Linked DNA regions of Bombyx mori. The protein of the gene in region 2 purifies or fractionates together with the protein of the main gene of each other region. This does not show direct contact. Links are inferred from orthologs where the notes say so. Each region holds a gene or a part of one and is shown on either strand. Other genes may lie near its edges.

What was found. Proteins that work in one complex are often made in the same cells at the same time.
Region 1: the proteins of nucleolar protein 56 (region 2) and ribosome biogenesis regulatory protein homolog purify together in Homo sapiens (co-immunoprecipitation; 3 studies listed by BioGRID and IntAct, with this or other methods). This does not show direct contact. The link is inferred for Bombyx mori from reciprocal best matches to the Homo sapiens genes NOP56 and RRS1.

The regions. Positions count from the first base shown.
Region 1 is NC_085123.1:3,057,080-3,065,387, reverse strand, and holds ribosome biogenesis regulatory protein homolog, read right to left. Parts: upstream 5,074-8,308; 5' UTR 4,670-5,073; coding exon 4,521-4,669; intron 4,397-4,520; coding exon 4,124-4,396; intron 3,893-4,123; coding exon 3,673-3,892; intron 3,290-3,672; coding exon 3,027-3,289; intron 2,902-3,026; coding exon 2,748-2,901; 3' UTR 2,695-2,747; downstream 1-2,694. Other genes in the region: DNA excision repair protein ERCC-6, read left to right, coding at 6,209-8,308. UniProt on the Homo sapiens protein: Involved in ribosomal large subunit assembly. May regulate the localization of the 5S RNP/5S ribonucleoprotein particle to the nucleolus.
Region 2 is NC_085132.1:2,378,855-2,385,259, forward strand, and holds the end of nucleolar protein 56, read right to left. Parts: exon of another isoform or gene 6,334-6,405; intron 5,604-6,333; coding exon 5,436-5,603; intron 4,969-5,435; coding exon 4,770-4,968; intron 4,436-4,769; coding exon 4,172-4,435; intron 3,752-4,171; coding exon 3,597-3,751; intron 3,156-3,596; coding exon 2,985-3,155; intron 2,209-2,984; coding exon 1,985-2,208; 3' UTR 1,889-1,984; downstream 1-1,888. Other genes in the region: DNA-directed RNA polymerase I subunit RPA2, read left to right, coding at 255-434. UniProt on the Homo sapiens protein: Involved in the early to middle stages of 60S ribosomal subunit biogenesis. Required for the biogenesis of box C/D snoRNAs such U3, U8 and U14 snoRNAs. Part of the small subunit (SSU) processome, first precursor of the small eukaryotic ribosomal subunit.

The DNA.
Region 1 (8,308 bases), on a different chromosome or scaffold from region 2:
ACTTTAGTCGCTTAGTGACATCTACCGACACCCTAGCGACGCTCGCTTAGTCGTCCTGCCATTGCCATAACCCCTGCCAACATCCCAAAACACTATGTAAAGTTACATATTAGCGTCTAATAAAAATAAAAAAAAAATTGACCAATTTTTTTAAATTAGTGTTTTACATTAAACCGATGCATGCTAAATAGTGCTGCCTTCTTATTTACCGATTCTGATCTAATCGAAACTAGTTAATTCTATAACATTTTAATATAAATTATTATCATAGTTATAAACAAAAATCCTATTTTGTGACGATCGCTTATCTATAGTGAAAATAGTTGTAGTGAAAAGAATAGCAATACTAGTTATTACATATAGAAATTATTGTACAAATTTATAATATTATAATGTTTTTAAATATTTTGGACATGTTTATTAATAGGGTTTAATAGAGATGAATTTTCATCAACAAAATAAAGTCGAGAAAAATCAGAAGTAGGTACAGACAGTTTGAAAGATCATCTACATTTCTGCAGGATCCAATACAAGCTACGTATTTGTGTTGCTAAGTCCGACTTTTTTTGTTCAATAGAACTAAGATTCCGTGACAATTCCCTATTTGCATTGACCTCATGACGCTTTTCATGAATACATGATTGGTTTTCGGTAGAAACAGACAGGGCACTAACAATAAATCTGGCGGGCTCTGAACCAATGTCTTACCAGCAGCTGGTAAATTAAATGTAACTTAATCAAGTTGGGGAATTGACAATTTACTTTTGAGAAAAAGAAACTACGAAGTTGTCTGTATGTACCTTCATAACCTTAATCTGTGAACTCTATGAACCTCTATGAACCGCTAAGACCGGTAGACTAATTACGCGATTCCATTTTTATTATGAGTTATGTTATAGTTTATTATGACTGTCCAAAAGATTTGAAAACACGGGTTTGTAGTAAGTAGCTAAACATTAGAAGCTTCCATTAATAAACTTTATTATAATTAGAATTTGATGTAGATAAGTAGGTACGCTTAACGACGAATTATGTAGGTTATAAACTGATTTACAGTATTACAAATTTTACCTTCTCCTTCTAAATGTTGATTGTGAAGATTTTTAATTCTTCGTTAGTGTCTAGTCAAATTCCATAGAAACAAATGTAATTAAAGCAATAGAAAAAATACAGACTTTTATTTTATTAAATGTGTATGGTTGGCCAAACAAGGTAATTTTGGAGGTGCTGTCTTTGTTAGATTATAATTAAATTTAGTTACATGCCAGTAAAGTAATGTAGATGACAGATTGAATTACGGATTTACGGCTCAAGACCGATAGTTGAAGTTGTGTAGAGTGCGGGCTCCAGTATTGGCCTAAAACTAAGTCGGATAGTCTTCGAAACTGTCTAGAGAAATAAAAACAATATCCTGACTCTTTCTATATTAATGAATTTCATACCAAACTAGCTTTTGTCCGCGACTTCGTCCGCGTGGAATAGTTACTTTGCCACAACGCTAAAATTCGATGCCTCCAATGAACACTACTCTAACTGAAAATTTTGAAATTTTCGTTTTTCACGCAAATCGCTTCACTATTTTAAAAGTATTACAATTAATCATTATTGATGGGGTTCGAAGCAAGAGTAAATCAGCTAGTTACACAAAAAAACCATAAATATATCTGCAATAATAAAGATTTTATCGACTTTTTTCGTTTAAACGCTCCTCCTGTAAATCTATGAATTTAGAGTTAGCGTAGTGTTCATTGGAGGCATCGAAATTTTACCTGCGACTTCATTTACGTAGAAAGAAAAAAACGATTTAGAAACATTCTTTATTGGTATTCCGTTTGTATTGGTCTTAGCGTATAGCCTATAGCCTTCCTCAATAAATGGGCTATCTGACACTGAAATAATTTATCAAATCGGACTAGTAGTTCCTGAGATTAGCGCGTTCAAACAAACAAACAAACTCTTCAGCTTTATAATATTAGTATAGTAGATACCTCGAAATTGGCTTTTTTTTAATTTCTTTTATTGCTAAGTTGGATGGATGGACTCACGGCCCACCCGGTGTTAAGTGGTCACCGGAGCTCATAGACATTACGCATGTAAATGCGGTCACCCACCTTGGACATGTATTCGAAGTCTCAATTTTTAAGTACAACGGCTACCCTACCTTCCAAACCAAGGTAGGATGGTGATACCTACCCGTGCGGGCTTACAAGACGGCCTCACACCAGTAATTACACAAACTGGTTTCATTTTTATTACACGATGATATTCCTTCATCGTGAAGCATTCATGAACATTTGTTAGGTTAGTACGTAACTATTTCATCAGAAAAATTTGTACATGCCTGCGGGACTCGAACACTGGCATAGTCGCATCACTCAGTGCAGAACAGTGCTTCGCAGAACCTACCGCCGGATCGGAAACGCGACCCGGAAACGACCCGCGACGCGAAAAGATCCGACGAGAAACTCTGTGACTTGTGTCTGTGGGTTAATTTACTCGCCTAGCCCTGCGCCGCAAGCGACAGTTTCGACGAGAATCACTCGATACGAGAGTATTGGAGACACCTTGTTCTTTTAGGCCACGACGACTTCACTCTTGTTACGTTCAAAACCAAACATATTTTTCGATTTAAAACAATGAACGCCTCATTTTTAAGGGTTTTATTAATAGTTAAGGAAAACAAAAAAACAAGTGTCAGTATTTTAGTTTTTATTAGTAATACATTCTGTAAGGCTTATATCATAGTTCTATCTCCTTTTCCGTCCAGTAGATTTCTTATTTGGTGCCCTTTTTCCCTTTCCTGCTTTAGGTTTCTTGGCTGAGAAATTTGTTGCATTGCCTTTACCTTGAGTTTTACGTTTTCCTAAGCCGGGTTTCATATTTTTCTTTTCGTGTGATCTCCTAATGATAATACAAACAATAGAAATCAGCTCATTTACTTCGAAGTAATAAAATAAAAACTTTAAAAAAAAAATTCTGATTATATCATTTTCAAATTTACAATAAAATAAAAATAATTTACTTACTTGACTTCCTCTTCATTTATACTTTTCGCTACAGCTTTATCCATATCAATTTTTGGCCTCTTACTCAGTATATTATCAAGTAGATTCAGGTTGTATTCTTTTTCTGCTGCCGGTGTTGGTATAGGTGCTTTACGTTTCCTCTCCTTGCCTGGGATTAGCTCATGTACACCTTTACCGCGTGCTTCTTTCTCTTTGGGTAATTTATCTTGGAATTTTCCAAGAGAAGCCGTTGATGCTTTTGCTACACTTGCTGCTGTGGATAACTGGAAAATTATGAAAAATAATTGTAGATTTATGCATTCATATATTTATAAAATCATTTAAATTATTATCTTTAAACAATAATGTAATGGATAAGCAAAACAAGATGAATGTAATAGTTTAGCAATAAAATTGCAACAGTTAAAAAGTTGTAGTATATCTAATTCTAACTTAATTACAAACAGCAAATGCTGCTTGGCTGTAAGAAAGATCAGGTATGCTACTTTGAGATCATCTAGAATAGAAAAAGGAAAATTGTCCTTTCATTGAATTAGACATGTATTTATTAAAGTATACTATTATCATTGTATAAGATGTCTAATTTGAAACTGAAAAAGGAAAAATTATAATTCAGTACAATATATATTTTTCTACTTGATCCTACCTGTGTGGCAGAAGCTTTATCTGAAGTGACAGGAAGCCCCACCCTTGGTATTTTAACCTTTTTGGCTCTAGCGAGATTCTTAAGTCTCTGTAATTCATTCTTTGCAACCTTTTCTGATTTTTCACCGGCTTTCTTTTCATACATATCTGTCATAGGATCTAAATTCTGTGGGACTTCTATAAGCCAGTTCTTCTCTTTTTCAGCTGCAGTTTTCTTGAAACTGATGATACAGAATTATATAGTCAATTATAGATATAGTTGATTGCCGACAATAATAAACGGACAATGTGTTTTACAACATCCTGGCTATTGGTTTGACTATAAAATACAGATTTTAAAATGATGATATCAATTTTTAATTTCTGCCTAAAAACTTTTGTAAATAAGGTTTTTATGGTTTGTGTTTATAGTTTTCTAGACAACTTTCATTATTCTACTATTGAAAACTCACCCATATAAAGGAACCCATTTCTGCAGCTGTTCATCCCATTGAAGTTTGTCTTTCTTTTTCTTATTAATACCCTTGGCTTTTGCGAACTCTTGCCATTTAGTTAATGGCTTAGGTACAGGCACTGGCTTGGCTCGGGGTAGGATTGTCGTAGGTTGTGGCAATCGAACTACTATGGCCTCTTCGATTCTTTCAGTGGGAAGCTCCCATACTTTATTCAGTAGTAGCTGAGCATTGTCACGGGTCAATGCAAGTAAATATGAATCTTTGTTTGTCCTAAACAACACATAAAATCAATTTAATTTGATAACAAAACATGTGCTGTTAACTAAATTTATGTTTAATCCTGAAATTAATAGTGACTATGCGTTTGCTAAAATGAGATAAGATGAAGACTTACTTCAGCGTTTTTATGTCCAAATCGTTTGTGTCAGAGGCCAATAGTGAACCTAGGTCGAATTCTAATTCCAAATGTTTTTCGACCGTTATTGGTTTATATTTATCTGCTTTCTTTTGTTCCCTTTCTAATATCTCATTTACAATATCCATTGTTATCAGAACACTTCCTTTTTACACATTAGAATTAACAAGCTTATTTGACTTGAGCTAATATTTTCCTTGCTTTACTTTTGTTGAAAAATAACCTCAAAATGTATTTTTTTTTTACAATTTAATTACATATATTTATGATTTCGTAGTTTTCTGGGCAACCACGTTTTGAACTCTGGCATAGATAATAAATATTTAACACATGTCATCATATTGGTAGCTTATTGTAGTAGATAATCTATGCACGTAGAATAATTATTTTAGAATTTTTATGTACATACATATATATTGAAACGATGGAACTCAAGTTCATTTTTATTTTATAATCTATAAATATTTATGTATTCAGTTCTATTACCGCGCATCACTGTACTGTACAGTAACTAAAAGGTGTAGGGGCTTCGTTCCCTTTGTATCACCAGCGAGTTAATAAATGAAGATTATGGAGCATGTCCAAACAGGAACAGGTATAGTGATATAAAGTATAAACGAAATGTATTATGCATAGCCCTCTACCAAGGTTTAATGATAGATAAGACATAAACATAAACGTTACATAGTAACTTTTTAATAATCTGTAACTCTGCCTCAACACTCGCGTATGACGTCGCACTGTGAAGAAACACCATGATCTGCGCCAGAACTGTGTCCCTCCACACTCACAAAGCTTCACAGCTCAGCCTTGTTCGCGATTATGATCGACGACGACGTGATTTCTGCTGCTGCTGTGTATTCTACATACACTTCACTTTCTTTCTATACAATCTATAGCTCGACTTAAGTGATTCTTTATTTTTCTTTAACTCTGACTCAGTTACAGGTGTATTTAAGATAGCACTTATGCGTGTCCAGGCATCATGAACCTTATTCTCATTTTTGTGGTCTTGATGTTTCGGCTTAGGTTTATGGCAATAAATGAGAGTCAGTTCCAGATCATTATTCCACCATTTATATTAGGATCAATCACCAACGCACGCATAACCACTCTACGATGTCCTGTACGCTACTGCGGTAAGCTGCGAGTGTGGATACATTCACGTTCGCGTGCCGCAAACCCTTTGTCGCGGGCCATAAAACCGACACAGATCGGGGAGCGACGCGCGAACGAGAAGGCGTGAACAACATCTACACTCGTGAATTCGCAGTTGTCGCGTTCGCGCCGCGAGTGTAGAGCCGACTTGACGCAGAGTAGGAAGGAATACCGTACTATAGCCATATTAGCCATGGAGTTAATAAGTTCAACTCTAGCTCTATGATTGTAGCCATAGATTATACACTTAAATTGTAGCGTAACTAGCGTAGCATTATAAACTCTAAAAAAAGAAAAATATCGCTTAACTGACATTTTCAATTAAAATAAATGTTTTAATTATTCTAATGCTCGTAGGATTTGTTAACTTAAGATTAAGTAAGATTAACTTGTTAAATTAAAGATTAAACACTTAATATTTGAGTTTAGTTTATTATTGTGTACAAAAAGCAATAAATACATTACCTAAATAAACTGAATTTCAATGTCAAGAACTAAAACTAACCCAAATGGTGGACATAAACAAATATTTAGAAATGCAACTTGAATTAGCGAAAAAGCAAATTGAGAGGAAAAATAGTCAGAAAGAAGATGTATCAACTAAAAGCAAATCTGCTGCTGATTACATATCGCAAAAACAGGCAAAGACTCTGTCAAAATTTCCCCACAATCAAAAAGTAGATGTAAAAACTACTGTGACATCAGGGACTTCAACTGAAGGACACCTCGATGACATCGATTTTGTACCTTCCGATGAGGAAGACGACAGTATCCATAATTTTCCGCTTACTGCGTGTTCTTCTCGTACCAAACAGAATATAAACCGAATTGTTGACGACGGTGATATTAAACAATACAATTTAAGGGTAGAGGTTTGGCGTGAAGGATTAAATACTGTGAAAAGCGGTACATATGAAGGATGCACGTTAACCGCTGACATACAGTACATCCTGGATGGTAATAAAGATAGCGATGAAATGCATGAACTCCAGAATGGTCTATTAGTACCAAAATATATTTGGAAACAGTTATATAAATTTCAAAGAACTGGTGTTAAATGGCTTTGGGAGTTGCATCAAGTGGATTCTGGTGGATTGTTAGGTGATGAAATGGGACTTGGTAAAACAATACAAGTCATTGCATTCCTAACTGCCCTTTCAAAAACCAATTTAGGATCATGGGGTGGTCTTGGTCCGAGTATCATTATCACACCTGCAACAGTTATATATCAATGGGTATCTCATTTTCATTATTGGTGCCCCCTGCTCAGAGTAGCTGTACTGCATCACACTGGCTCTCATGCTGGTAATCACCATAAACTATTAAGGGATATACACAGTGCTCATGGAATCTTGTTAGTAACATATGCAGGCATAGTAAAGTATCATAAAGAACTTAATGCTTATAGTTGGCATTATTTAATTTTGGATGAAGGACACAAAATACGTAATCCTGATACACAAGTAAGTAAAATTGTAAAAAAAATCCAGACACCACACAGATTGTTAATAACAGGCTCACCAATGCAGAACAGTTTGCAGGAACTGTGGTCATTATTTGATTTTATGAGGCCAGGTTTGTTGGGGACATACAATGCATTCATAGAACACTTTGCAGTTCCAATCACTCAAGGAGGCTATGCTAATGCTACTGAAATACAGGAAGCTACTGCCATGGAAATAGCTATTGCTTTGAAAAATATGATCACTCCTTACATGCTGAGGAGAACTAAGGCTGAGGTACAAGGACATATCAAACTCCCAGAAAAGAATGAACAAGTTCTATTCTGTTCTTTAACACAAGAGCAAAGAGATCTTTATATGGGTTACCTTATGAGTAATACAGTGAGAAGCATCTTAGACAAAGAAAATAAATTTGGAAATCCATTAAGAGCGAGGCTACTAGTGGCTCTGTCAACGCTAAGGAAAATATGCAATCATCCTGATATTTATCTCTACGAAGCTCAAGAAGATGAAGAACAGATAGATGAAGAGATATTTGGCCATTGGAAGAGATCTGGAAAAATGACTGTTGTTAATTCATTACTTAAAATATGGAAAAAACAGGGACATAGAGCTCTCATATTCTCTCAGTCAAGAGTAATGCTGTGTCTGTTAGAACAGTATTTACAAAATCAAGGCTTTACATACCTCAAAATGGATGGTACAGTTAATGTTGGCCAAAGGCAAAACTTGATTAAAACTTTTAATGATAACACTGATTATTTAGTTTTTCTTTCCACAACTAGAGTAGGTGGCTTAGGTGTAAATTTAACTGGAGCCGACAGAGTGATAATATATGATCCTGATTGGAATCCTGCAACAGATGATCAAGCAAAGGAAAGAGCATGGAGGATAGGCCAGTCTAGAAATGTAACAGTTTATAGATTGTTGTCAGCTGGGACTATAGAGGAAAAGATTTATCAGAGGCAGATATTCAAACATTTCTTGAGTAATAAAATTTTTGTGGACCCAAATCAAAAGAATTTTTTAACCACCAGTACATTACAGGGACTGTTCACTCTTGAAGAGCTTAACCGTGAAGGAGATACTGAAACTGCATCAATTTTTAAACATACCAAAATTATCAATAAAACCAATAAGAATGAT
Region 2 (6,405 bases):
TATAGTTCTAAGGTCTCAGTATAGTCACAACGGCTGCCCCACCCTTCAAACCGAAACGCATTACTGCTTCACGGCAAAAATAGGTTAGCCGGTGGTACCTACCCGCACGGACTCACAAGAGGTCCTACCACCAGTAATTACGCAAATTATATTTTTTTGTGTGTAGCGTGTTTTAATCTCAGTATGTACTTGAGTTGTGCTGTAATGCGACGTGTTAGCGTCAGTACTAAGCGTGTGTGTGTGTGCGGCGCCAGATGGCGGTGTGCACGTCGTGCGGCAGCGTGGCGGGCGCGCGGGGGGGCGGCGCGTGCGCGTGCGGGGGGCGGGCGGGCGCGGTGCGGGCGCCGCACGTCTACAAGCTGTTCGCGACGCAACTCGCGGCGTTGCACGTCAACTGCAGCCTCAAGTGCGTCGACAAAACTATACAACAATAAATCCGAATTGTAATTAAATACATTGCCTGGTTTTATTTCAAACGAGCTTCTAATTCCCTAATATGCACTGATATTTGAGGGCAAAGAAAACATTTTAAAATTACATTTACAAAGAACATAAAGACTCTTTATTAAAAAGTTTTCTTCAAGTTCACCAATACAGATTAACTAAAGAGATTTAAAAAGGGTAAGCAACAGAAATATAATCTATGTATCAAATGACATTTAAAGCAAACAGGGGACTTTTTGGCGGGAACGCGAGGAGTGAAGTTGTGTGATTTGTTTTATTTTGTCTATTTAGTGTTTCTTCGGGTTTAAATGTGTAATAATGGTGGTTTATTAACTGTTTAATATGTGTGAAAGTGCACAAATGTGGGAAAATGAAACAAAGCCGCTGGACGTAACTTCTCGGGATCCTACAAAAAGTCCACTGAAAAAATCTTAGTAAATGACCACCATTTTACTGAGTTTATATTTCATCCCATATCATTTCATTTAATTTCATCCCAGTTGATTAATGTCTCAAATTAATCATCTTCATTTCATTTCATCCCATAATATCATTTTTCATAAAATTGAGAATATAAATTAAAAGAAGACTTGACTTAAAGATCTCAGTTACCAGGTCATAAAATCCCTTAAAAAAATAAAGGAAACAGTTTTATTAAAATAGATAAGTAAACAATATTAAATTTGTTTTTTTAAATGTACCATTCTGTTTTTAATAAAGTTTAATGGGTAGACAAACTCACAAACTACAAGTCGAGGGAACTTATAGATGTCGACGTTGTAGACATGAGTTCGAAGTCAACTGTGTTTTATACAAGGCTATGTTATGAAATAATTACTGCTCGTATGCTTTCTGAGGACTCCACTTGTGATATTTAGATCTTATTTAATTATAGATTTATTTTATCCCAATATATGGTCGCATCTCTAATACAGAAAAGTGCAGTACTAAATTGTTTAAAATTTATAATCTTTTTAAATAAAATAATGCACAAAGTATAGTGTTATTTCACGAATCTCTACTTCGGTTAAATTTTCTTTAACTGAATTCGTGGTACATATTGTATCTCGATACGAATTAGGTAATAATTATTTTTACTTTTTTTCGCATCACTCGATACTCGATTCTAATTCCACAAAACAAATGAGCATTGGCCAGATAGTATATGTAGATTTGTTAAAAAAAAACATCGTTTGTATAGTACTAAGTATTTAATCTATTTTACGTTAAAAAATATGGTGGGTATTACGTTCTATCAAGTGTATAATCTATGGTTCTATCTTTCGTTTTGACATTTCTCATTCTTACTCTATGTATGTTTTATACAGGCCAAGGTAATGCGCCATAACAAATTGAATTCTTAAATTAAAAGTGGAATTGACAGATGCATCGGGCGACGCTTAGTATTTGATTAAAAGTAGGGTTAAAAGAAATAACTCCAAGATAGCAGTTTTGTTGGTCCATAAAACCGTCTGAAATACTTTATTTTTAAAGGTACAATATCTTAACACCAATAGTAATTAAATTCTACATTATTCGACTAATCTTCGTCCATGGCCACACTCTCGTCTAATTCGGACTTCTTCTTCTTCTTTTTCTTTTTCTTCTTGGCACTGGCCTCGGCGTCAACAGCCTTCTGAACTTCGTCCATAGCTTCCTTCATCACTTCAATATTCTTTTTGGGAATATCACCGGTCTCATAGAATTTCAGACGGTCTTCTACTTGCTGACGGAGTTTTTCACCAAATACAGCTGATTGCATTTCTGTAACATTTCAAGAGTTATTTTGAGTCTTTCCAAAATAAAATATGTATATCATTCTTCTATGGATGGGAAAAAGGTCCCACCAGCTTTTGAGCTGTTACTATATCGCATAAAAAAAATACAATTTTGTCTGAGAATTTAATAAAGAATACATATCGACGCTTGAAAGGCAAACGTGACTAAGCGACAATGCGTGAACTTTACAGTAGGCTAATTTAAAGTTGAAATACCTGAAAAAAATTCTATTTTAACGAATCTAGCTGTAGGATTGAAATGATTTTAATAGAAATATATATATTTTTTGCACACCGAATATGGTTATTGCCTATCGTTTATGTACAAAGCAATTATTGTCGCTTAGTCGTTTGCCTTTCAAGCGTCGATATTGAAATATGTATAAACTTTTTTAACTTTTTATCGATCTATCTAAGTACATATTTTTAAAATTTTCCTTTTTTTATACAATTATATAGGTAGTTTATGAAATCTCAGTAAGGCAATGTAGCGAACATTTAAAAACTGCCATAATTAATTACTTATGACAGTTACTGGATATAGCAATTAATATAGCACGACCCTTATTACCGCAAGTTATTTACAATACTGACGGTAGATCACAGTGTGCCTAGATATCTTTCAGATAAATTTGTTGCTTGTGAAGGCTTGGTGGTAAGGCTCAAGAAAAGCTGTTAATAGAAAAAAAAACGTAAAACAATATCGTTCATTGTTTAAACTTTTATGACAATTAAGTTTTCTAGTCAGAAAAATTTAATTACCAGAGAAACAATCGATCCTGGATGCAATTGAGCACTTATTGGCCAGATATCTGCTGATCCGACCTTTGTTCTTCAGTCCGGCACGTCCAATGAACGTGGAGTGGTATAGCAGACCATATTTTGGAGTATTCGAACGTGTCTTCAGAGCTCGGAAGAGAGCTTTTTCTGCACCTGAATTTTGTAATAAAATCATTTGTATAGAAAATTGTTATCTTACAATAGGGGAAATACAACAAAAATGTAAATCATGTTGGAGATATTTTCAATATTTGATATTTTATACTTATTTATTCTTAGTAATGGTTATTAGAGAAATTGTATTTATTATAATTACTAGCGACCCGCCCTCGCTTCGCTTCGGAAACTGTAATTTATTATTGATTTCTCCACTATTTAATGGATGTTATGATACATATAAACCTTCCTCTTCAATCACTTTATCTATTAAGAAAAAACGCATCAAAATCCGTTGCGTAGTTTTAAAGATTTAAGCATACATAGGGATATAGGGACAGACTTTGTTTTATACTATGTTGTGGTTATCAGTGTATATTTAAAATTGTATGTTGATGATCAGCTAGACTTGTAAATTGAAAAATGTGACCAACTTACCCAATATCTGCAATGTAGATGCGGGATACTTGGCAAGGTTGGTCAGGGAGCCAGCCTTGGAGATCAGCCTGGCTCCAACTTGATCTCCAACCAACGTAGACAAATTAGGTGCTACGGAGTTCATCTTACTATGCAGGTATTCTGAAATCTGTTTTCTGTGGGGACACAATGTTAATTGAAATTATTAGTTATTTCTTGATGTTAACAGATTTTCAATAGGTCCTTTTTAAGATTGAAATTAAATGACAATTTCGAATCAAATAAGACCACATTGGACTCCAGCATCAATATCGCTATCCACTGCGCAGATAGGATAGAATGGAGGAACATAGTTCTAACAACAATGTTTCGTAAAGGTCACAACCCTCAGCACTGGGGAACACAATGCAAAGAGAAGGAGGAGATTTAAATTATTGATAGCATAACAGAGTAAAATAGTGAACAAGTAACTTTTTAATTTCTTTTAAATTTTTATCCACATGATACTCTTATAAGATTTTAAAATATATGCTATCATGAATCAACAAACAAAGTATTAAGCATCTATTTAAATTTTAAATAAACATTATACTAACCTATAATTGCTGAGTGCTACTACTCTGCCAGCAAACATTTGGATGTTAATCAAGTCAACTGGTGAAATATCCATTCCCATGGACATTTTCGAGGCATCTATGATAGCCTGCGCCTTCTCGGAGTCTCCCAGGATCTCAGTGAGCGGTTCTAATGACTCTTCGCACAGGGTCTTCCTATCTTTTATGAACTCGGCGCATTTTGTGTACAGGTGATTTTCAGGAACAATTGACACAAGCTCCGGGAAGTGATAGGAATACCATTCTCTAGAAACAGTACAAAATTAGTAAGTCTACAAGATTTAGTAACAACATTTTCACAATATTTTATATTTTTGTACTAGTGGTACTAATTTTTGTACTCTTGGGAGTCCGCACGGGTAGGTTCCACCACCCCGCCTATTTCCGCCGTGAAGCAGTAATGCGTTTCGGTTCGAAGGGTGGGGTTGCCGTTGTTACTATACTGAGACCTTAGAACTTATATCTCGAGGTGGGTGGCGCATTTACGTTGTAGATGTGTATGGGCTCCAGTAACCACTTAAATGCAGGTGGGCTATGAGCTCGTTTATCCATCTATGCAATATAAAAAAAAAAACCTCACCTTATTCTCATGGAGAAAGTGTTAACATCTTTGTCAAGTTGATCGAGCAGGGCTATTGATTGTATGATCATGTTGTCCACTCGGTGAACATTGAACTTGACACGAGCTCGTGAGTATGAGTGGCCAAGACCAAGCTGTGCCACACTGCATGCTTTGAGGGTAAGGCCTTTGATGAGCGAGTGGAAGTGATAACGTATGCCTGTTTAAAGAACAAAGAAAACTTAGTATTTTCACATTTGTCGTCTTAATTCTGACAAATGACATTAATTACCTCACCAAATACGATTAAGATCCAAAGTGAGATAAAGAAACATAGATTCACTGGTGGTAAGACCTCTTGTGAGTCCGCACGGGTAGGTACCACCACCCCGCCTATTTCCGCCGTGAAGCAGTAATGCGTTTCAGTTCGAAGGGTGGGGTAGCCGTTGTAACTATACTGAGACCTTAGAACTTATATCTCAAGGTGGGTGGCGCATTTACGTTGTAGATGTCTATGGGCTGCAGTAACCACTTAACACCAGGTGGGCTGTGAGCTCGTCCACCTATCTAAGCAATAAATAAATAAAAAAATTTACCACAAAGCCATCTAAATACCAATTTTTCATTTAACAATGAAAGAAGAACTCTATGATATTGAAAATATCCATTGTATATGTCATAACAGACCTCTCAAAATCTCCGGGACTGCTCCTGTATGCGTGCACTGAATTTCCAGGGCCTCGCTGATGGCTGCTCCTAGCTTGGGATCCAGTACACCGAGTGTGCATTTTGATCGTTTTTTCCTCTTTGGAAGACCACCTTCGAGGAATAGATTCAAATCCTCAGGAAGAATACCTGTAAAATAATGGAGTTTTTTTTTTTGCTCCAGTTTACAGTTGTAGTGAAGTGTTAGTGTTCACCAGGAGACTATATCTTAGAAATCATATTTAGTATTTGAAAAATAATCATGTGACTTTTTTATGAAGGAAGGATTACTTGTGGCCCGGAGGCCTTTCCAGTTTCACCAGAACAGGGAATCACAAACTATTTAGTTGCAGACTGTAAACAGTGGTCAATGTATTGCAACGATGGCCTCTAGTCATAAACACTTTACAATAAAATTTCAGTATTCGCTAGTTTTGTATCTGGTGGAAAAACCAACTGATCACAGTGAACATTGATGTATGTATATTTGAAGGGTGTAGGCGTGAAAAATATTTATATATGTAACCTCTATATGATTTATGACATAAAGCTTAAAAGAGGTAAATATGTTATATAGGTGACATAAATGGTAATTTGAATATAGAAACATTAGAAGAAGGAACATTAGAAATATTAAAAACATTTTTTGAATATTGAAATATAAAAAACATAAGAACTGATGAAGCAATAGTTTTAAATGTTGTTTCTCTTTATAGAGCCACTCAGTTTGTACTATAGTTTTACTGGGCTAAACTTTATTTTGATGTGAATAAAATAATACACCCTTGTTCTTTTATTTATGCTCATATTTCAAATAAAACATTTCAAGAATCTAAAATTAATATTTACTCCCGAGAAACCTTAATGAATCCGTATGATAATTCTAGGGTCGGCAGACTAAAGCACATAAGTCAAAATTTTCAATTTATTTTTTATTACATCATCGGTTTAC